Caenorhabditis elegans: one gene and its partners. The protein of the gene in region 1 interacts with the protein of each later gene in a pairwise test. Each region holds a gene or a part of one and is shown in the gene's direction. Other genes may lie near its edges. The genes, in order: rabn-5, csn-4, rfl-1 and twnk-1.

Region 1 (5,382 bases):
ATGAGCATGCTCTTTCCGATTGCTTCTTCGAAAGCGGTTGTTGAGCCTCCAGCAGAAAGACGGCGGAGAACGAACTCCGTGAAAGAAGAAGATGCTCCCATCGCGGAATCCGATCCTACTTCCTCGTTATCGAAGCATGCGGCAATACGAATTTGTGGGTCATTCTTGAATGACTCTCCAGTTAGAGACTCGAGAAGTCCACTTATCGCAGTGTATGTTCCAACTTGGTTATCAAGACGAGCTCCAGAAATGAATTCATCCTCCATTCCAACAATCGCAGCCTTGTTTGTATCGTAAAGGTAGAGATCCAAATCAACGATGTCTTCTGGCTGACATCCAGCTTCCTTCGCGATTAATCCGAGGAATTGGGGATGATGATTGTTGGTAATGTTTCGTGGATCGGCAAAACCAGTAGACTCGGGTTTCTGTGGTGCATTGATTCCAGCAGCAGCGAAGGTTTCCAGAATCGGGCGGAGCTCAGTTTCCGTGTTTGGTTTGAATGTTGTTCTGAGAAATAAATTGCAAAATTAGGACGATAGTGACAAATTTCAAATACCTGTCGGTCTCCAAATGAATCGCCAAATTTGGAATGAAAAGAACTGGCTTTTTCACGTCGATCAGCTTGTGTTGAAGTTTCTCTCCATTCTTGACAATAACCAATCCAGCCACCGACAAGTCACGGTCAAACCAGGTTCTCCAGATTCCACCTCCGTAAGTTGATACACCAACTTGAAGGAATTTATCAGACTTTTGGTGGGAAATTGGTTTGACACGGAGGCATGGACTGTCAGTGTGTCCCACAACAATCGAGAATCCACTCCCTGGCTTGTAAGATCCTCCAACAGCGAATGCAAGAATTGCAGAGCGGTTCTTGGTGACAAAGTATTTGCTGGTTGGCTGAATGTCCCAGTGACCCGATTCTGGAAGCTCTGTGAAACCGGCTTGTAGAAGGCGATCCTTCACTTCTTGGGTGGCTGCAATTGATATACTTTTGAATATAAAAATAAATAATAAATATTACCATGAAATGGAGTAACTGCTTTATTCAGATAGTTGATGAACTCTTGTGCAGCTTTGCGGATCTCCGGAGCACTTGGTTTCAGAGCAGCGGCCATCTAAATTAAATAAACTTATTTATGAAAAGACAAAGAAAGAATAGTGAAAACCTTTTTGGGTTGATAGCTGGTATTGGGCTCAATTTCATGTTTTGGATAGCAGCCGCACACTACTTTCAATTTTTCGGAAATACGATTTTTTCGAAACGACTTCTTTGTCATGATTCAAACTCAAAATGAATTGAGCCCAATATTTTACTACCATCGGAGTGAAAATGAAAAAAGATAAGACAAAATGTTGCATAAAATTTGAATCTGGAATGATTTTCTATAAGCGATAAACGGTTAGTTTCTACTGGGCGAAAGTTCGAGAGAAGAATATGTGGTGCTGATTATCAAAAATGCGTTATCAGTGATAGTTATCAAGGTTTCTAATAGAAAGAATCAAAAATGAAGGAAAAGATAATGGAGAAGACATGAGAAAAGCGAAAAGATCAGGAATTATTTGAGGAAAGTTAGTGAAAAAAAAATTGACAGGAAAAAAACGTCGGAAAATTTTAGAAATCGAAAAGAAGAAAAGAACAATTTTTAACGTAGAGTAGTACTGTATTCAAGGCGCAACGCTTAAATCATTTTTTGGGTCCTGGAAAGAAAACTACAATAGCTGGAAATGTTCTGAACTTTGAATATAATTATAAATTTTATATATAAAATTTTGTTCATCTTGATTTTTCAGAGCGATATATTGTTTATAAATAGAATGATTTTTACTACAAATTTTTAAATTTTTATGAATAAAAAATAAATTAAACATATAATAACATTTTCATAACTCAACAGAATGAAATATGTTTATTTCACTCCAGAAAACATTTACTTTTCTCTTGGAAGTCGTTTAATGAAATTAATACTAAAACTGCTCGATTATTATGTTTAATGCTCTTTAAATGTGTCACCAAATGGCCTAGGTTTTCAACCTAGTCCTTGCCAACATTGTGATGAGACCTTTTTTATTTAATTAATCAAATGACTCATATATTTTTCGAATAAATCAAGAATTTTCTAGAAAAATGACAGAACCGTCGGCTAGCGAAGAAGTGTCTGCCGGAGTGAATGCAGAGGTAAGAGTGTTGCATTTTAATCGATAATTCAAAGACCCTTAAATTTCAGGAGCCGCCAATACCGTCCAAAAAGATTTCGCAAGTCTCACCGAATCCAACGCTTCAATGCGAAATGTGCCAGAATTATGAAGTGAATTTGACTGCATTACAGGTGAGAATCATGGGAACACGGCAAATATGCAAATGATTTTTGTTTGTTTTGCAGGAAAACGAACGAAAGTTAAAGGAAGAAGTGAAGGCGGCAATGGAGTTGAACGAAAGATATCAATTGGATTTGAGCAATGAACGAGACTATCGAAAAGAATTGGAAAAGAAAATGAACGAATTATCGACTAATTGTTTGAATCAGGTTAACGAGGCGGCAAAGGCAAATGCCAAGTCGGAGCAGCGGCTGGACGAGCTCAGTGCGAAGGTATTTTAAATAAATAAAAAGAATAACTTTTAAAAAAGCTTAATTTCAGCACGACAAATCGATAGAAGTATTCACTGATCAATTGAATTTGGCTCGTGACAAACTGCAACAAGCCGACGATGACTTTGTTACATTAGGAAAAAAGTACAAAAAGCTTCTCGGGTCCACACGAAAATCAGCACAAGAACTTCGGTCCGAGAAAATCGATATGCCAGCTGATCTTGATCAATTACAATTTATTTGTCTCAAGAATAGGGAAGAATTGATAGAAACTCGAGCTGCAAAAGAGCACACCGAGCAGCAGCTGCAGGATGAGATCACCGTCCTGCGAGCTCAGATTCTAGAAGAAAGAGCGCACAGAGAAGATCAGGAAGTGACATTTACTGCAGAGATCAGCAGATTGCAGTCGGAATTAGGAAAGATCAACACTCGAATGGTTGTTGCATCGGAAACAATTGCAGATCAAGATTCGAATATCAGACAAATTAGAGATCTTCAAACAACTGTCGGTGAACTTGAGACGCAGGTTCAGCAGGTTCAAAATGAGAGAGCCGCTGTTGAACAGACGGCACAGAACTACAAGCAACGGTGCACAAGTCTTCAACAAGAACTCGACACATCTGAAGTTGTGCAGAGAGATTTTGTGAAATTATCTCAAAGCCTCCAAATTCAATTGGAGAAGATTCGACAGTCGGAACAAGAAGTACGATGGCAATGGGATGATGATGTAGATCAATGCTCAAATTGTGATACATCGTTTGCTAGAGTTAAAGTTAAACCTCAGTAAGTTTTTGAAAATGGAAGTTTGAATTTCTGATAAAAAATTACAAGAAAATTATTTTCTTCATTTTCAAAAATAAATTTTACACTTTTCCAATTAAAATATGTCAAACAGAAGATTTTAAAAAGAAAAAAAATATATAGTGATTATGAATCAAGCGTTCGGTACCCTTTCTTAAAACGACCTAAAATATTTTTAAAAAAAGGCTTCGAAAAATAAAAAATCACGCATAGTTTTCCAGAAATAGCAGATTTTTATAAGGAAAAATTTTTAAAAAAGTGCGAAAAATAAGAGATAGCACTATTTTACTTTTTCATGGAATATTTCAGTCACTTTTATTTTTCAAATCTTTTAGCTGTCTTCATTGTGGTCGGATATTCTGCATGAACTGCCTGAAAGACACCGTTCCAAGTGGACCAAATCATCGACCAGCCAATGTGTGCAAAGTATGTCACACACTGCTCAATCGGGATACAAAACCATTCTTTGCAACGCAGGATAAGTAATAATTCATCTGGAATGCTTATTCTGTCGCTGATTATCCACAACTCGCCCTTCCAATTTCACTTTCGCCACCTTTTCCCGATTTTATATGTGCATCATCCGTGTGCTAGAATGTCTAGTCTTTTAATTCTTGTACAATGCTTAATCTATTCTATATACGTACATATATACCAGAAATTGATCTAAAATTGTGCATTAAAATTTGTTTTATTGACTTTTATGAAATTAGAATTATTTAATTAGAATCAATGGAAAAGTTTTCGATCACAGTTTCGTCGTTGCTTGATGTCAAGATGCTGATGGATTCCAAATTTCCTGGCTTGTCAATATGCCACGTGGAATCTCCGGTTTTGTCCATAATTTCAGATCTATTCAGAAGCAGGTCAATTGAATTGGAAGTAGTGCAAGTTATGGTCAGGGTACTGTAGTTGACAGAATCGAAAGTGAATAGTCTGGAAAAAATTATAATGAGTAAATTTTTGTATGTTCATAACTTACAGAAATTTTCGATTTCTGCCAAAAAGAGTGAGTCCTGTAGAGTCAATTACTTGGTGGCAGAAGGAGCTTAAAATTTGAGGCTGAAGCTGCACTGTGCTCAGGCGGTAGTGCCAATTTTGATCCATTCCAGTACAGAAGTTGGTGCCAAAGTTTATAGAAGTTAGAGGACGAGTTCGGATGTGTGGAAGAAGTTTGGACCAGAAGCTGGAATTAAATTAAAATTTCAATAAAACTTAAATTGTGGAATTTTTCTGAAAAAAATCCTAATGTAGAATTTTCTAGTTGGAAATAAATTAAATTTCAAAAATTATGTTTTTTATAAATTTATATTTTTATCGGGGTACTGTAGTCTTTTTTTTCTGATTTTTCAATTTTATTTTCAAAAAACCTTACTGAATTCCTTTGCAAATTTGATTTTCCTCAGGAAACTTTTCATAAATCCATCCGGGTGCAAAAAGAGCAACTGACATGTGAAAAAGTTTTGCCAATGCAAATGACTGATCACAATGAAATTCTCCAACACAACCACGAGCCCATACATCAATTCCAACAAAGATCCGATCAAGAACTCCAAATTCAGCCGATCGAAGAAGTTCTTTATCTTTCCAGTTGTAGTTGAGATAGATGGCGTCACAAGCATCGTAGAATTTTCTTAAAAATATTAATATTTCAGTACAGTTCTAATATTCTAACCGATTCATCTCATTCAATTCATTTTGCCAATGCAACTTTCCATTATCAAGTACCGAATCATACCATATCACTTTCGAATTTTCATTCATTTTCTTTGACTTTTCAGTTAAACTCGAACAAAATTGAATCAACAAATCGATTTTTCCTGCATCAATTTTATTTTCAATATTAATCAACCATCCATCAAATCCAAAAAATCTCGCAACAGCCACCAGACAGTCCACTGTTTTTTCTACCGAACCCTCATTTTCCAAGATTTTCGAACAAATATCGTATCCTGGAATCCATTCCGTGATGAATGTTCCAAGTGAAAGAACA
Region 2 (5,731 bases), on another chromosome or scaffold:
CTCTCAATCTCGTATTGATGACGTCGAAAGAGCTGTCGATGATGCTGTAAACACCTATAAAGCTCTTACAAAAGACGGGAAATTGCTCGCCGGAGCCGGAGCCGTCGAAATTGAGCTCGCCAAAGAAATTGAGTCGTTTGGAGCAAAAGCACCTGGTTTGGAGCAATATGCAATCAAAAAGTTCGCCCACGCACTCGAAACTCTTCCAAAAGCTATTGCTGAGAACGCTGGAATGCCAACCACTGAAACTCTGACAAAACTCTACGCGGAGCATGTTGCTGGAAAGAAAAACGCTGGAATTGATATCTGGAAGCGGGGTACGGCTTGAAAAAACCCAATGAAAGCACTGAAAATTCGAAGAAAATCGAATTTTCGGTTTAAAATCTGACAATTTAGGTCGAAAAATGACTGGAAAACTTTAATTTTTGACTGAAAATTCAAAATTTTCTGCTGAAATTTACCGAAAACATTTCTAACTGAAAATTTGAATTTTCACCGGAATTCCGCTGTTTCTGCTGAAAATCTAACAATTTCGGCTGAAATTCGCCGAAAACCTAAATTTTCCACTGTAAATCCAATAATTTAGGTCGAAAAATGGCCGAAAAACTTGAATTTTACCTGAAAATGTGCATTTTTGACTGAAAATGTGACCGGAAACATCAATTTTCTTTTGTTTTGCTTCACTTTTTTAAAGTTTTCTTCAGTTTTTGCATTAAAATAACTGATTTTTCACAGCTGGAAACCCTCACAAAACCCGGAATTTTCGCTAAAAATAGGCAATTTTCAGTCAAAAGTCAACTGAAATTCTTCCAAAAAACGTCAAAATTTCCAAAAAAAATCCCCCAATTCCAGACAACACATTCAATTTTTGCTAAAAATTCCAAAAAAAAATATCAGCAAACTGACAGAAAATTTTCAAGTTTTAATCAAAATTGGCCAATTTTCCTTTTGAAAAACCTCAACTTTTCGGTTCAAGCTCAGAAAATTAGCTGAAAATCCGAAATTTTCAACTGAAATTTCTTTAAATCAACTCAAAAATGCAAAAAATTGAATGAAAAAATCGAAAACTCAGCCAAAAATCGGCCATTTTCAACTCTGAAAAATGCCAAATTTTCAGGTAAAAATTCCTCAAAACCCCCCGAAATTTTGGCTAAAAATGTCAATTTCCAGCGCATAAAACTTGTAAATTTTCAATCAAAATTCTGAAAAATCCCGAATTTTAAACTAAAATTCCTTCTTTTTTTTCAGAAACAATGGACGCCGTCGTCAACAACATTTTCGACCTCTACGCTGGAAAACGACTGGCAATTAAGCTCGCCACAGACGCCGCCAGCACAATTCTCAAAGTTGATCAGATTATTATGTCAAAGCAGGCGACTGGAGGACCAAAACCACGTGGACCAAAGGCTCAAGATGAGGATGACGATGGAATGGCCTAATTTTTTTGTGTGCATTTTTGCTGAAAAATTGGGGAAATTTGAGTGAAAATGAGCTGAAAATCGATTTTTCAGCGAAATTTTAGACAATTTTCCCCCACTTTTTCAGATTTTCCCCTCGAATTTCCCCGCCGTTTCCCTGGGAATTGAGCTGAAATTGCAATTATCTTGAAAATTCGCTTAACAGTTTTTAGCTCATTTTCCACCATTTTTCCCCGTATTTTTTAAATTTTCCCGCTCTATATGCCTTCTCCGTATGATTTTTTGCAATTTCCCCGTTTTTATTGATTTTCGCTGGAAAATGAGCTGAAAATTCGATTTTTGCTTAAAAATTAATTTTTTTTTTTTAACGCGAAAATTCAGTTCCAAATTTACTCGATTTTGGTCAAATTTAGCTAAAAATTTGCATTTTTCAGCCAAAATTTTCCAGTTTTTGCCAGAAAATGGGCTTAAAATTGTCATTTTCTTCTGAAAAATCGAACTTTTGCCCCATTTTCAGCCGAATTTCAGCCTTTTTCCTCCAATTCTCCATAATTTTTAATGCTATCCCCCAACCCGTTCTGAATCTGAAAATCACAGTTTATGATCTTAAAATTGCGCCTTAAATTCTATAATTTTCAGCTTTTCCCCCTCGAAATTTTGTTTTTTTTTCTCGTTTTTTGCTTCACGTTGTGTTTGTTATAAAATTCTCCAAAAAAATCACAAAAAATTAGAAATTTTAAAGAAAAAATAGTCGAATTTCCTATATTTTTATCTGAAAATTCCCCCCAAAATTTTGTTGTAAAATTTCCACAATTTCAGCTGAAAATGAGCGGCGAAATTGAACGTTCACAGGAGGTGGCGGTCATTTTTGCACAGGATACCGATCACAAGGCTCAATATGAAGCGTAATATTTTTGGATTTTTGAGAAAATTTGGAGCTAAAAATGTGAAAATCTGGAAATTTTTAGCAAAAAATCCCAAATTTTTGTATTTTTCATTGGAAAATCTGAATTTTGTAAATTTTCAGCTGAAAAAATATGAAAAAAAAAAAACGATTTTAGCTATGTAGAAATTTTGAAAAAAAAACGAATTTTCACGCAAAAACATTTCCTAATTTAAAAAATTAGTAAAATTCGCGAAAAATTGAAATTTTTATCTTTTTTTTCCAGAAAATCTGAAATTTTCAAATTTTTATACTTAAAATCTGAAAAATTCTATTTAAAAACTCAAGTTTTCATTTATTTTCTACGAATTTTGAAATGAAAAATTCTTACAAATCCCGCACTTTTTTCGTTCAAAAATTGGAAAAAAACTAATTATTAGCTAAAAAATTTCCAATTTTTGTATCAAAAAACTCGAAAATTCTCAAATTAAAAAAATTTTTTAATTTTTTTGCTGAAAATCACGCTAAAAATTTCAGCTTTTTCACGTAAAATGTGATTTTCTGAAATTTCATGTAATTTTTTAGCTAAAAAGCCGAAATTTTCTCGATTTTCAGACAAAAAATTCCCCGATTTTTGCAGATTGGCGAAGCTTTGCAACAAATATTTGCCACAAAATGCGATGGGACGAGTCGATACGGCGGAAATTATTAAAATCATTGATACAGGTTGGAACACGACGAAAATTTCGGATTTTTCAGTGGGAATCTGGCTAAAAATTACGAAAAATGATGAGTTTTGGTGAAAAAATGGACGAAAATCGCTCAAAATTGGACAATTTGGTTGGAATCTGGCTGAAAATCGATAAATCTCGATAAAAATTGACGGAAAACGAGAACATTTTCGGAATTCCTGTTGAAATTTAGCTGGAAATAAATAAATTACATTGAAAAAAATTTTTTTTTGAATTTTTGGAGCTGAAAATTGGCAGAAAATCCGATTTTTTCAGGAAAAATCTTTAAAAATTTACATTTTTTTTTACAAAATGGACTCAAAATTAGCTTAAATCGCTCAAAAAAGGCTGAAAATTCCATATTTTAAGTGAAATATTTTAAGTGAAAAATATGGAATTTTCAGCCTTTTTCGAGCGATTTAAGCTAATTTTGAGTCCATTTTGTAAAAAAAAATGTAAATTTTTAAAGATTTTTCCTGAAAAAATCGGATTTTCTGCCAATATTCAGCTCCAAATCCAAAAAAAAAAATTTTTCAATGTAATTTATGAATTTTCACAAAAATCCAATTTTTCGTTCGTTTTCTGCAGTTTTGTTTTTTTTTTTTGAAAAGTTAAAAATTTCCTTTAAAAAACGCGAAATTTCCAATTTTTCACGGTAAATGTGATTTTCAGCCAGTAGTTTTCAACCGTTTTTTCGCGGGAAAAATTGAATTTCTAAAGATTTTCCTCGAACAATTCGATTTTTCCGGTATAAAAAGCGACCTTTTACCGATTTTTCACAGAAAATTCAGATTTTGAGCCTTTTTCACCCTCAGAAGCCAAAAAAAACCCCCAAAAATTGGATTTTTCTTGAAAAATTTGAATTAAGAAACTCAAATTTTCAAACCGTTTTTCCACGGAAAAAGTGCGTTTTTCAACGATTTTTCTCGAAAATTCTCAATGTTCTGCGTTTTTAAGCGATTTTCAGCTGATTTTTCACGAAAAAATCGAGTTTTCAGGGATTTTGATATATTTTTCTTGAAAAAATCGGATTTTCAGCTGTTTTTTCCACGGAAAAAGTGATTATTTAACTTTTTTTCCAGAATAATTGGATTTTCAGCCAATTTTAGGCTTAAAATAGGGCCTTTTAACGAAAAATGTGACTTTTAGGACATTTTTCAATTTTTCGCATAAAATTAAATAAAAATGGAATTTTTTTACCATTTTTTTTTCAAATTTTCAGGTTCAAAATAAAGCTTTAAAAAAGTGGAAATTTCTAGTTTTTAGGCTTAAAATAGGCTTCTTAGACGAAGATTTTCAAGCTTTTCGTTAAAAAAAACAGGAAAAAATTAATATTTGTATAAAAAAATTGAATTATCAGCTAAAAATTACAATTTTTGCACTGTTTCAGTGCAAAATTTGTATTTCTTTTAGAATTTTTAGCAGCCTATAACCCCAAAAATGTTTGCAGTAATCGCATTGGAGACTGGAAGTATGGTTGTATCACGTCAATTTGTATCACTTATCACTGAAAGATTGGATAATCAACATTTGGAATCAGAATGTGTTAAGGCTATTTCAGAAGGAATTTTGGCGATTATTAAGACTCGAACCATCTCTTATGAGGATCAGGTACTTGGAAATGCACTGCAACTTTTTCCTCACGAGGGACGAGGAACAGTGGTTTCTAGGCCATGGCCGAGGGGCCGACAAGTTTCAGCGGCCATTTATCTTGCTTTGTTTTCCGCCTGTTTTCTTTCGTTTTTCACAGCTTTTTCCCGTTTTTTCTTATTAAAACTGATAAATAAATATTTTTTGCAGATGATAAAACAATTTCGAAGTAAAAAAATTATGTATTCAGTGGGCAAGCAGCGGTGAAAGTGGGCATTGTAATATGATGGATTACGGGAATACAAAACCTAAATTTTTTCTGAAACATGATACATATGATGCTTAGATGCTGAAGCTACCTGATTTTCATATCAAGACCGCTGAAAAAGTTTTGAGGTTTCCAAAATTCAACTTTTTGTGCGAAAATCTCGACTTTTTCACCAAAAAAGTTGAATTGTGGAAATCTCAAAACTTTTTCAGCGGTCTCGTTATGAAAATCAGGTAATTTCAGCATCTAAGCATCATATGTATCATGTTTCAGAAAAAGGTTAGGTTTTGTATTCCCGTAATCCATCATATTGCATTGACCACTTTCACCGCTGCTTGCCCACTGAATACATAATTTTTTTACTTGGAAATTGTTTTAGCATCTGCAAAAAATATTGATTTATCAGTTTTAATAAGAAAAAATGGGACAAAGCTGTGAAAAACAAAAGAAAACAGGCGGAAAACAAAGCAAGATAAATGGCCGCTGAAACTTGTCGGCCCCTCGGCCTTGGCCTAGAAACCACTTTTCCTCGTCCCTCGTGAGGACAAAGTTGCAGTGAAATGGAGCATTTTGCAGAAAAAATTGAAAAATTTGAAGAAAAACGAACGATTTTATGGGATTCTGCGGAAAATTTGAAGATATTTGAAAAAAAAAATTCGGAATTTTTGGAGTTTTTTAGCAGAAATTCAAAAAAATTTCGATTTAAAATTCAGGATTTTATGTGATTTTTCGGAAAAATTTTCAATCGTTTTTTTTTTCCGATATTTTGGGCTTTAGGCTCAGGCTCAGGCTTAACCCCTTATTTATCGAGAAAAACGTTATAAAATTGAAGAAAAATTGA
Region 3 (5,226 bases), 1.2 Mb from region 1:
GGACGTCCAGCTGCCCCTGGTCGACCGGCGTCTCCCTGCTCTCCTGGTCCTCCTTGTCCTCCTGTTGGTCCTGGTGGTCCGTGTCTTCCTTGATCTCCAGCTGGTCCTGCTGGTCCGACAAGTCCTGATGGTCCTCGTGGTCCTGGACGTCCTGGTGGGCACTTAATACATCCTCCTAGAAATTACTCAATTTAAAAACAAGTCTATAACACAGTAAAGATACCTGGAATATCGTGAGTAATTGCAACAATAACTCCTGGTGCACCAGGCTTTCCATCATCTCCATCATGTCCTGGCTCTCCACTTTGTCCACCCTCTCCAGGTGGCCCTGGTGGTCCTGCTGGGCATCCCTCAGACTTTGGTCCACAGTTACATTGTTCTGGATAAGCTTGACGGGCCTTACGTGTTCCGAAAAGAGTCTCGAATGTTGGTGGATGAGATTCGATTGTTTCTTCGTCGACGCCACCTGGATAAGTGTGTTTTGTGACGATCCTTTGCCAGGTGTCTTTAGTAATGGCGCGGAATTCAAACATCTCGTCATCGAAATCAGATTGAAGTTGTTTGATGTCAGTAAGAAGACCCATCATGGTGTAAAGTGCCACGAAGACACATACAAGCATGGAGGCGGACCCCGCCCAGATGAGTGTATTACTCATTCTGAAAATTGATGCGATGTGTCTCAAAATCATGCGGAATTAAAAATAAGTTATTTTCTTGAATCACCGTGGCGGGACCCACTTTAAAATTTCAGTGGGTCTCGTAACGCTCAAACCGATTTTAGCGGACTTCTCAAAATAATAGAATAAAACAGATGAAGACGAGTTATACAAATTATATATTTCTAGATAAATCAACAAATAAATAAAACTAAAAACCAAAAATTAACTTTCTTTGCGTGTATCCAATGGTTTAAGTAGTCATCCTTATCAGATCGTCACGTCCTGAACCACTCAATAATTTTCAATTTTCCGTTTACTTCTCCGAATGGTTCCGCCTGTTTTCCGATCACTTTTCGACGACGTCAAACCAGTTAGCATTTCTCTGAAACTCTCCAGTAACCAGTATCTTTGTCTGTTGCTATCGAACATCAAATTGTGTGGCAATCGTTTTTTTTTCTGGAAATACTTCTCTCGCCTATCTGTTACCCTCTTTCAGGTATCAGGGGCGGAAAAGAAAGTGAAAGTTTGCAGAAATTCAGTAAATGAGGGTTCTATATTAGTTTTAAGGGAATTTGAGAGTAATTGGAACTTCAGTTTGCAGTCTTCAATCTTTAAGAGCTACCGTAACCCTATTTCAGTGAAGAGTCTACTGATACCGTTGCGGGCCCATTAAATACTTAATCCAAAAATTAATTAATACTTTGTCGACGCTCCTTTGATTAGACGATGTATTTTTGCTATTCAACTTCCCTGATTGAGAATGCTATCGATTAGAGAGCCAAATGGCAGTAATCCCCGAGAGATTGTCTGTCATCACTGCTGCGTTTAGAGACACAGGTGAGCAGAACAGTACGATACTCCGCTATTCCGAAACGCGCGTTGTTCACCGTAAATCGACATTAATTTGGCTGGAATTGTTTTAAAATTAGAAATTGTTTTATTGTTGTTTTATTCTTTAATTTTCACCTCTCGTTATTATTTCATTAAATTATAGTTTTACATCGTTCGTTTTGAAGCGAGATTATATTTTTAATGGAATAAACCTAAAATGTTGTTTATAAATAATTCTTATGAAATTCAAAGAATTGTCATTTTTTGAACAATAGTGCGAATTATTATTAATTAAACAACAAAATTTATACTTTAAACGTTCCAATTTTTTCCTTGTAATAAAAAATAAAATGCGACACTAAATAAGTATTAGGAACTGTAAACATGCTTTACAATGTATAATCTATTTTGTTTACACCACAAGGAAAATTAAATATTCAACACTTTTAAGCAAAGATGGTCAGCGTGGATCCATTGGCAACGGAGCGTTGGAGGAGCATCAGAAGATTAACAGATCGCGACTCTGCATATAAAGTTCCATGGTTTGTTCCCGGACCGGAAAACTTTGAAGCACTGCAAAACACGAAGATTCTTGTTATTGGTGCTGGTGGATTGGGTTGTGAGTTGTTAAAGAACTTGGTTAGTTAGAATTCAAAAAAAACATTAAAAATAATGCATTTTCAGGCTTTGAGCGGATTCCGAACAATTGAAGTTATCGATATGGACACAATTGATGTATCAAACCTAAATCGTCAATTCTTATTTAGGTATTAAAAAATTATTATTAAATTCGTTCTGTCAAAAAAAAACTTTCAGGGAATCTGACGTTGGAAAATCAAAAGCTGAGGTAGCTGCTGCTTTCGTTCAACAAAGAGTTGTTGGATGTCAGGTGACTGCGTAAGTGTTGTGGTTTGATAGTCTTTCCAAACAAATTCAGAATTATTTTAATTTTATTTCAATTTTCAGGCACAACTGTAGAATTGAAGACAAGGGTCAAGAATTTTATCGAAAATTCTCTATAATTATCTGTGGACTTGATTCGATTCCAGCCAGAAGATGGATCAACGGAATGCTGGTAAAATTCTTTCTAGCTCAAAATATAAATTAATTTATCGAATTGCAGTGTGATTTGGTTTTGGAAATGGCCGACGGAAAACCTGATGAGAACACAATTATTCCAATGATTGACGGAGGAACTGAAGGATTTAAAGGAAATGCTCGTGTCATATATCCGAAATTCACAGCCTGTATTGATTGTACTCTTGATCTTTATCCACCTCAAGTCAATTTTCCATTGTGCACAATTGCTCACACTCCTCGACTTCCAGAACATTGTATTGAATACATTAAAGTAGTTGTTTGGCCAGAGGAAAAACCATTTGAAGGTAAAAATTTACAGAAAAATCGGTGAAACGAACTTTAATTTTAGTGTTATTTTTAAAGTTTTTTCTGGAAAAAAGTTATATTTCCAGGTGTTTCTCTTGACGCTGACGATCCGATCCACGTTGAATGGGTTCTCGAAAGAGCAAGTCTTCGTGCAGAAAAATACAATATTCGAGGTGTGGATCGTCGTTTGACATCTGGAGTTCTAAAAAGAATTATTCCGGCTGTTGCATCAACAAATGCAGTTATCGCTGCATCATGTGCCCTAGAAGCTCTGAAATTGGCCACAAAGTATGTAAGATCACATATTAAAACTCTCAATATTCAATTTCAGCATTGCCAAACCAATCGATAATTATCTTAATTTCACTCAAATTCACGGAGCATATACCAGTGTTGTTTCAATGATGAAAGATGACAATTGTCTCACTTGTAGTGGTGGGCGTCTTCCATTCGAAGTTTCACCATCTTCAACTCTTGAATCGCTTATCATCAGACTCTCGGAGCGTTTGTACGTTCTCCGTTTGTTTTAGAAAACAAATTTCAAATTTCAGCCATCTCAAACATCCGACACTAGCGACCTCAACTCGAAAACTTTACTGTATTAGCAGTTTCATGCCACAATTTGAACAAGAAAGCAAAGAAAATCTGCATACTTCGATGAAAGATCTTGTTAGCGATGGCGAAGAAATACTGGTATCCGACGAAGCATTGTCTCGTGCACTTACACTACGAATTCAGCTCATCTAATGCATTTCTTCTATTTCACTTTTGAATGTCTCGGGTAAAGTATGCCTGTGTTCCATGTCAATAAAAATAAAATCGTTTTTAAACTCAAAATATTTACCTAAAGAAAATAGAAAGGAAAAGTGAACTGATGAAAATACAACGAGCAATTGAAATGGAACGAGAAGAGGGACCCTGTGAATGACAATTAAAGTATGAAAAATGTGGCAATAATACAGAAAAAATAGAGACGGAGAATGACTAGATCTATAGATAAGACAACCGATGTGAGCTTTCAGAAATCATTAAGACGTGCGAGAAGATCGTCTGTTGATGGCACCACTGTGCCTGATGATGATGATGTAGCCGTGTTTGATGATGCAGGACCAGATGAAGTTGACGAGGAACCCGTCGGATCGTTTTCTTTGTGCGTTGGTGAGATTTGCGATGTTCCATTGATATTCTGAAAGTTAAATTTCGAAAAGTTTCCACATATAAAATATGTTACCGTAACTGGAACAGCTGGTTGCCCTTTCCTTCTCACTCGAACTTTGAGCTCATTCTGACCAATCGGCAATCCAACTCCAAATGCTTTAGCCCTATCAAGCGCCGTTGTTGGTTTTACTGATGATGGAAGTTCCATATTTTGTCGTTGCAGATCATTTTGAGGAACGTTGCGTGATCGAGCAAACTGTCCGGAAAGAACCGGTTCCGATGCGCAGCCAGTGAGATCTTGAAGCTGACCCAAAGCATTCTGATGTCGTGATCTTTGCCGATCAAGTCCTCCTCCAAGTCTTCCACCTCCGCGAGTTCGAGCTGGCAATCCGGAACGAGGAGTTCGAGAATTTGTGGCAGACATCAAGGTTTGAAGGAAATCAGCATTTCCTGTAGCACGCTCCAACTCATCGAGCACACCAGCCTTATCGGCAGCTGAAAAAATTATATTAAAAAACAATTTCAAAAATATCAACTCACCAGTCGAAACTCGAATCATCGCAGCCGGAGTTCTTGGCACTCTATTAATCGCCTGTCTCTCTTGTAACGGCTTCCTTTCTTGTTGAGATTGTTGCAGCTGCTTCCGCTTCTGTGTCTCAAATTCTGCTTCTTTTCGTTTTGCTTCTGCTTCGGCATCCAACTCTTTCCAAGCATTCGAATATTGCTCAGAGAAGGTGCGAATATCGGCGAAAAATTCTTCCATCGGATATTTTTTGTCGTTAAATGCATAATACTTGACCAACGACTCCCAATCGTTTTTCATCTTTCCACACATTGACGAAACTGTGGAGAACTCTTTGACAGCTTTTTCGTGGAACGGCCGCATCTTCTCGTCGAATAAATCACGTTCTCCTTGAATTTTGTACACTTTTAAGCAGTTCTCCAGTTTTTTAATGTTATTCTCTGTCAGTTGAACAGTTTTTCGAATTTCATCCGCATTCACTCGGGACGATTCAATGCAATGATGGAAGTCGGTGAGAGCAAATCTTAAATTTTTTAAATTTTGAGAAAGCAAGTAAAGGAATCTACTCACCGTGCTCGTCTTGGATCGATTCTCTTCATTTCTTCAATTAAATGATGTAGAAGAGTATGCCGATTATCGACATCTTTTGTATCAACCAGTCTTGTCAGC
Region 4 (7,101 bases), on another chromosome or scaffold:
AGTAAAAAGAGAAGGAGGAGGAGGAAGACGGAATGTATACTTTTGAGATGATGGATATACATTGTGGGATGGAGTATAAAAATTGTTTGGTACGTGCAATCATAGCTGGGCTCCGTCCCTGCTCAAACGATTGTACATTTCCTTCCGTCTCGAAAGGTGTATCTGTCGACAATACAAGTAATTGAGCTTCCTTCTCTTATCCCATTCGACCCCACCCCCATCATTCCGTCCTATGAGACATTTTCTTGTCTTAGTCTTTAGACGACAACTGGCAACTATTCCCTAGTTTTTTTTTCCAATTTTAGATCTCCTTGAAACATCTTTTTTTATTTTTTCCAGGTACCTTGTCAAAAACCATTAGCAAACTGCAGCTCAAAACCATGGAAGACGAAGTAAGTCTTAGAAATGGTACTGTATTTTTCAAATTTTTTTCAGCTCGACTCGGATCTCTACGATCGTGTGAGCTATTTGAATTTGATGGACAAAATCGATACTCGGAAGAAGACATCGAAAGTGGGAAAGTTCCGCGATGAGTAAGTCCAGTTTTTGTCATGTTTTCCAGAAACATGCACATAAGTGACTTCCGGGAGAAGAAGTCTTTTTTGTTTGCTTAATAGTGTGCCAAGCAGTTGTCATATTCGGTTTTCATGGAAGTTTCGGTTTTCACGTTTTTTAATGATGTTGTGCTGTTTTTATATTCATTGGTTGATAGTTTCTGATTTTGAAATTTTGTTTGAAAATTTCCAAAATGTGAATCTGTAACTGTGAGGAAGTATAATTTTAATTTGTATTCCCCCAGAATATACTTTTTCAAAAAATACTGTTGCCTCAGAAAATAGCCAAACCTAACAAAAGTAAACCGGTTCACTTCGTTCCAAAAAAAATTTATTTTTCGTAATATCTAAAGATATATAAGACGAGAAGAGGAGAAAAACAATGAAAGCACTTGGGGCACCTCGATTTAGTGAGCCACCAAAAATCCAGGAAGCCTTTAACGCTGCCCCAACATAAAAGCGAGTCTGAACGAGGAGGTTGAGGAGGAGAAGCAGCACACAAAAAAGTCGAAGATAGCTTTCTATTTAAGAGCATTTTTGCTCCACCAAACCTTCACTCAACCATAGGATTATTGCTCGAAAAAGTGAGGTGTACGGCGTCGGTGCCCCCGCCAACCTTTTTTCTCTCTCGCCCCGTTGCTCCGAACCACCCCGATTAACCCGAGGTCAATTTCACTTGCACTTGAATTGATTCGATCCGAACTCTGATTCAAGTTGCAACTTACTTGTCTATTTCATTTGCTGGTTTTTTCAAATCTATTACTGTACAATGCATCGCTCAAAGTCCCGACCGGTATCTAGGATGTCAAAAAAATCGTATTTATATTCAAGCTCAGACGAAGATAATGGGTATCCAGTCGGTATGTCTTTAAGCATTCTATTTGCGTTTCCCTTGTGCTAATATGCTTTTAAAAAATTTGGAAACGGATGCAGTTTTTTTGTTGGAAAACACCTGAAATTTTCCCGAATTACTAGTTCCGCCACCATGTTTTTATTTTTACACCGCGCAGACTTGTCGAATCTAACAACTTTTGCCAAAACGTCTCTAGCCAGCAATTGTGAGGGCTCCTGCCAAATAAGCTGTGTAATTGTCGAATATCATAAAGAATGGGGGCCAAAGGACGAGCACAATAGCATTTTTTAGGGTGGGGGGAACTATTATTGTTTGCGGGGTGCCTCTCCTGCGCATTTTTCTGTTTTGTACCCATCGTGACTGGTTTGTAAACATCAGAACCTTTCACTTCTGGCACTTTTTCCGGCTGCTCAAGTTCCTGGCACCCCATTCATTCAGCTTTTCCCCCACTTCTAATAATATCGCGTCGAATTCTAGAAAATCAGTTCCATCAAGCACCATCCTCGTCCAGTAGTGGATTTTTACCACCATTGAACTCTAAAGCAGTGTCATGGATTGATATGGATGACTATACAATTCTGCCAAGCCCCGACGAAGCTCCATTTGATCACAGCGACGACGAATATTTCACCGGAAGACGACTACGGCAGAGAAAAGCACCCCGGACGGGAAGATCGGTGACAGCGTCTGAATCGATGAATCAGATTGCAGACTTTGATTTCAGGTTTAGAAAGTGTTGAGTGTTGCATCCTGTGCTTATGTTAATCTTATTTAATTTCACATACGCTTTTTTTGAATATTGATGAAATCGTTTTTACCGAGCTCAAGCAAAATTGAATGCAAAATTGAATCTTAATTTTGAAGGCTCTAAAAGAGGGTGTTAACTTATAAGATGGATTTCAAAAAGCAAATTCCATCGTAAAAGTTTTTTGAACATTTTGCAAAAGAGTTGATATTAGGATTATTGCTGTAAGTTGCATATCTCTCGCTTTTTGTTCATTATTTAGATATAATTGCAGTTACCAATCTTAGTTTAGCCATATTTTTAGATCGTTTGAGCCCCCCTCGAAATATTTGAAAAGTATTCAAAAGGTCTTATTACGTAATTTGACACTTGGATTCATTTTCAGTCGAGTATCTTCGATATGAACTTTAATTGAAATATGAACATAATTTTTGACTGAGCTCAATTTAACATAAATAAATTCATTTGGTTCGTTTTCAGTTCTGACGCGCCTTCTCCAAGACTTGACGCTTCAGAAGCCATGAGTGCTCCTCCAGATCCGGATATCAAGGTTCGAATTTTTTTTCACTCCCAAAAAAGCTTTTTCCGTTTTCAGCGCTACTGGGACAGCAGTTTAGACATAACTGATCTGAGTGGCCACGATTTCACTATTTTCAAGCAACTCCAAGGGATGCTTGGAATTGAGAACATTTCATTCGAAACTCTTGCTCGTTTCAACGTTCGTGTCCAAACCGACACCTATGGTCAACCTGCCATTCTTTTTCCACGGTATCGTGGAATGACTTCCCGGCTACGCATTCCAATGGGTTTGAAGTTGATCCGTAAAGTTGGAGACAGAATGGAAAAGGAGAACTATCCACTGCCAGATGAAACTTCGTAAGTAGAAATTCCGATGTCTTCCTTCATAGTTACCCATTTCCAGCGTTCGCCAAAAGTTCAATGGAGTTTTCGGGCTTCATATGGCAACTCTGTCAGATCGAAGTGTAGTCATTACCACAAATGAGCGTGATGCTTTGGCGATCTACGAAGCCACCAAAGCTCTGGTATTTGCTCTACCACATGGAGAAATTTTGGATCCACTCGTGCTTCCGTATCTGGAGGAATTTGACAAGATCTATCTGTGGTTCCCGGTTCAGCATGTCAGTTATGCCAAAGACTGGGGAAGTGCTTTGAACACCCTCAAATGTCTTCTTGTGAAGTGAGTTTATGGTATTCAGTAGGACTATCATGGAAGGCGCGGATTGCGGCGTAAGACAGGTGGCGTTCCGGAGCCTGCTTGGAAGCCCTAGTATATAGAGAACGTTCGGAAAACAAAACCAAAAGAGTAAGTTCAGAAACGAAGAACGCCCAATTGAATTGGTTCGTAATGGTGATCATCGGCTCATTCGGAACTCACTATCTAACTCGGTACTGTTGCCATTTTGTTCTTGTTTTTTTTCAACTTTCATAGTTTAGGTGGTTCGAATGAGAGAGCGTGGTTTCCGTTCAATGACAGATTTAGACATGCGTGAAGGAATCCGTTCAGACCTTCTCAACTCGACAAATCGCGTTGTTGGATTTGGACAAGTAAGACGAAAGGAAAAAAGATAAATTTCGGTCTAAATAATTTGTTTCAGTGGAAACGATTTGCTGTTTTGAATAAGTATCTTGGCGGGCTTCGGCCAGGGGAGATGACAGTTTTAACCGGAGGAACCGGCAACGGAAAAACTACATTTTTATGTGAATACTCATTGGATCTATTTACTCAAGGGGTATTTTAAATTTTAGCATTAGCTGAGTTTTTCTAATATCTCTGGTTTAATTCTAGGTGCGCACGCTGTTCTGCAGTTTCGAGATGCCTGAAAAGAAGATCCTCCATTGGATGCTTGTGCAATACGCTGGGTATGATGATCTAGTGTTTTTTCTATTGTTATTCTATTTTATTTTTCAATGGCTTGCAACTTTTTAACTAACATTTGTTTTTGTCTGCAGTCCTTCACATCTTCGAAGCCTCGCGCGCACTAACTCATATAAAAATGGCATCAAGTAAGAATATTTAGAAGTATTAGGATCTATCTGGAATAGTTTTTGTTTTTTCTAAATTGGTTTTTGAATATAATAAGTGAATCAAAAACTATTTCAATAATTTCCTTATGAAACCAGTAGCCAACTAGACCTGTTATTTATTTTATTTTACCACCTCACAGTTTTGAGTTGTAGAACATCTTCATTTCTCATTCACTGCTCATTTTGGTTACTAGCTAGTGCTTTTCGTGGTGCGCGAGGCAATTGTCGATTATCTTGAAAGTGTGTTTTTGCACGGTAGTTTGTTCAAGGAAACGGAAATGGGTATGTGGATGAGTGTTGGCATGCTTATTCTGATTGTGCCCAGACATCCGTAGCCCATACACAACTCCCAATCAATCTGGTTCAGACTTCCGCTGCATCGAGTAGAGTATAGCAACTCGATAAATTCATGGTTGGATAGATTCGAGAGATCGAGTTCGGCGTTGACAATGCTTGACTCCGAAGAGTTCATGGAGAAGTCCATAAATGAAATAGTCAGAGTAATAATAGTGGAGCAGGGTTTGAATCATAAAATACCATTTTAGGCAATTCGTATTCACGTTGAAAACAGTGGTATCCAACATGTTGTCATCGATAATCTCCAGTTTTTGATTAACCAAGGAATGATGGCAGATGAGAAGTCAAGTGGCCTTGATAGATTCCACCTTCAGGTTATTTCTTTTTACATCAACTTACAGTTTTGGTTCATAAACTAACATTACAAGAAATGGGAACATTTGGTTTAGTAGGAGAAAAACTACAGTGCGCCCAATTGCTGGGACCCCCCTTCCATTTGAGCGGTTTAGGGCATTTTGGAACTTTTTAATAGGAAAATAATATGGGAATCGGATTCAGCATTACAAAAAACCTCTGTGTCAACAATTGTATTCGGATATCCCAAAAATTGGGAGCAAAATGGCAAAAAGTTGAAAAATCGACCGCCCAACTGCTATCAAGAGGGTGTTTTTCTGGACCTCGTAAATATTATGACACTTCTCCAAAAAAACATTAACCAGTTTGTTGAGTATCATTACAAAATTTGTTCATATTTTGAAAATATATGTACATGCAAAAACCCAAAACCCTTAGTCCTCCTCTAAACATATAAATCTTCTTGAACCTTCGTTTTCAGGATCGATTTGTCGGATACATGCGTCAACTTGCTACTCAGAATCAAATTCACATCACTATGGTTGTTCATCCCAGAAAAACTGACGGTGATACTGAAATTGATGTGCAACACTTTGGAGGTTCCGCCAGAGTCACCCAGGAAGCTGATAATGTCATTGCTATTCAGCGGAAGCGTGATGATCGTGACCGTTCCAAGTTCCGAAAATTCTTATACGTAAGCTTCTAGTAGAATGATATGACCATCCAGGATTCTATTACAGATTCTGAAAAACCGCTACTATGGCCGACGAGTGGAGAGCGATCAACTTGAGATGGTTTTCAACCCATCCACCTATTCTCATACAGTTGTAGAGTTTCCAAAGTAAAATTTTCTTCTTAATCAAATTAATTTTACAATTTCTCCAAGTTTTTCGAGTGTCATTATTCAGTTCTATTTTTTAAATATATTTTTCTGCTTTTTCCTTTCTCCCTATTACGCTGATACTTGATGAAGAAATATACCTTTTCTCCTGACCCATTTCATCCACCTTCTCCCTCCGTAGGTCACATATTATTCTGACGTCTTTCCCTATTTTGTCCGATCTCGAAAACACTACCGCGAAAACACAAAGCTTCTGTAGTTTGCAAATAAATAAATTTTTCATTACTCGACGATGAGAATAAAAAAATGTTGAATGAAAGCGAAATTGGAAATCAAGAATCGAAAACAAAAAATTAATCAAAATTTGTCACATGTTTTTTCGTGGAGGTGCAGGATGAGGCGGAGCAGATGTGGGAAGTATCCGAATTTGTGGCTGTAATTTTTTTTTGTAAAAAATTAAAGGTTTTCTTTTAAATATTAACAACTTGCACTTACAATTGGAACATAATCACAGACGGTTTCATTGTTATCATGACCAACGGCAAATACTGTCAGCCCGAGAAGAATTACTATTCTGGAAAAAAAAAACATTTGAATATTTGAACAGCTCTAGAAAAACGACAAGAAGCTTGAATAAGTGGCAATTCTGACGAAGATATGTGCTAAGCCGTTACATAATTCATTGAGTTTGCGTGTGTTTAGTTTTGAGAAGCTGTCAAAAAGCGTTTTCAGGAAACAAATTTATTCAAAAAATGGGCGTTGGCAATTTATTTTTGGCTGGAAAAATTTCAAAAAATGGAAAATTTCGAGTTTTCAATGTTTGAAGTTATATGGAATTTGTTAAAAAGCGCTTTTGTGGGGAAAAATTTTAACAAAACGTTTAAAAAATTGTCTGTATTTTTAAAAAATTTACTGTCAAAAAAAAAGTGGTTTGAAAATTTGGCAAATTACCAAAACTCTGAAAACTTGTAGAGATGTTGCTTTATCATCATATCATCGTTATGATAATTTTGGGGCAATTTGAATAGGTATTTATTTTTAATATTAGAACATCATATTATGAGCCATTCTCCAAGAAATTTCTAGTTTTCAAAAGGACATTATTCTTGACCAGAGCGATTAAACAGTTAATTTGCGAAACTGTGTGTATTTGTAAAAAATACAAAGTTACACAGTTTTTTTTTTTAATTTTGAAAATGGTTTTGACAATTTTCTGAAAATTGTATCAGCTTCAAAAAGTTATTCAACAAAGATCAATTAACACACAATGACAAGGAATGGGGTTTATCTCACGAAAGTTAGCTCAAATTTAAAAGCACTTTTACAACCCTTCAGAGTAGCGAAAAATACATTGAAAAATATTCATTTTTTTGGTTCATTTTTCTTGTTCAAAATTTTTCATTTGCTGCTG

Evidence for each region.
Region 2: the proteins of rabn-5 (region 1) and csn-4 interact in a two-hybrid assay, tested with the Caenorhabditis elegans proteins (one large-scale study listed by BioGRID).
Region 3: the proteins of rabn-5 (region 1) and rfl-1 interact in a two-hybrid assay, tested with the Caenorhabditis elegans proteins (one large-scale study listed by BioGRID).
Region 4: the proteins of rabn-5 (region 1) and twnk-1 interact in a two-hybrid assay, tested with the Caenorhabditis elegans proteins (one large-scale study listed by BioGRID).

The regions. Positions count from the first base shown.
Region 1 is NC_003281.10:5,862,432-5,867,813, forward strand, and holds rabn-5 (FYVE-type domain-containing protein), read left to right. Parts: upstream 1-2,121; 5' UTR 2,122-2,125; coding exon 2,126-2,176; intron 2,177-2,225; coding exon 2,226-2,327; intron 2,328-2,381; coding exon 2,382-2,588; intron 2,589-2,637; coding exon 2,638-3,371; intron 3,372-3,724; coding exon 3,725-3,875; 3' UTR 3,876-4,108; downstream 4,109-5,382. Other genes in the region: dnpp-1 (Aspartyl aminopeptidase), read right to left, coding at 1-507, 557-974, 1,022-1,115, 1,167-1,277; eng-1 (mannosyl-glycoprotein endo-beta-N-acetylglucosaminidase), read right to left, coding at 4,109-4,325, 4,372-4,575, 4,765-5,022, 5,065-5,382.
Region 2 is NC_003282.8:1,083,520-1,089,250, reverse strand, and holds the start of csn-4 (COP9 signalosome complex subunit 4), read left to right. Parts: upstream 1-2,237; 5' UTR 2,238-2,243; coding exon 2,244-2,323; intron 2,324-2,941; coding exon 2,942-3,027; intron 3,028-4,482; coding exon 4,483-4,643; intron 4,644-5,731. Other genes in the region: cct-8 (T-complex protein 1 subunit theta), read left to right, coding at 1-317, 1,249-1,439. UniProt on the Caenorhabditis elegans protein: Component of the COP9 signalosome complex (CSN), a complex involved in various cellular and developmental processes.
Region 3 is NC_003281.10:7,019,944-7,025,169, forward strand, and holds rfl-1 (NEDD8-activating enzyme E1 catalytic subunit), read left to right. Parts: upstream 1-1,941; 5' UTR 1,942-1,946; coding exon 1,947-2,129; intron 2,130-2,174; coding exon 2,175-2,257; intron 2,258-2,306; coding exon 2,307-2,387; intron 2,388-2,456; coding exon 2,457-2,565; intron 2,566-2,613; coding exon 2,614-2,875; intron 2,876-2,962; coding exon 2,963-3,164; intron 3,165-3,207; coding exon 3,208-3,384; intron 3,385-3,427; coding exon 3,428-3,623; 3' UTR 3,624-3,709; downstream 3,710-5,226. Other genes in the region: col-8 (Cuticle collagen 8), read right to left, coding at 1-175, 224-656; cyk-1 (WAPL domain-containing protein), read right to left, coding at 3,895-4,062, 4,108-4,529, 4,575-5,080, 5,128-5,226. UniProt on the Caenorhabditis elegans protein: Catalytic subunit of the dimeric rfl-1 (uba-3)-ula-1 E1 enzyme.
Region 4 is NC_003284.9:5,791,364-5,798,464, forward strand, and holds twnk-1 (SF4 helicase domain-containing protein), read left to right. Parts: upstream 1-1,967; coding exon 1,968-2,131; intron 2,132-2,234; exon of another isoform or gene 2,235-2,373; intron 2,374-2,442; exon of another isoform or gene 2,443-2,563; intron 2,564-2,632; coding exon 2,633-2,702; intron 2,703-2,747; coding exon 2,748-3,028; intron 3,029-3,074; coding exon 3,075-3,350; intron 3,351-3,486; coding exon 3,487-3,559; intron 3,560-3,607; coding exon 3,608-3,718; intron 3,719-3,768; coding exon 3,769-3,903; intron 3,904-3,959; coding exon 3,960-4,033; coding exon of another isoform or gene 4,034-4,060; intron 4,061-4,123; coding exon 4,124-4,177; intron 4,178-4,191; exon of another isoform or gene 4,192-4,335; intron 4,336-4,565; coding exon 4,566-4,698; intron 4,699-4,743; coding exon 4,744-4,869; intron 4,870-5,330; coding exon 5,331-5,543; intron 5,544-5,589; coding exon 5,590-5,694; downstream 5,695-7,101. Other genes in the region: F46G11.4 (Inner membrane protein), read right to left, coding at 6,058-6,123, 6,186-6,264.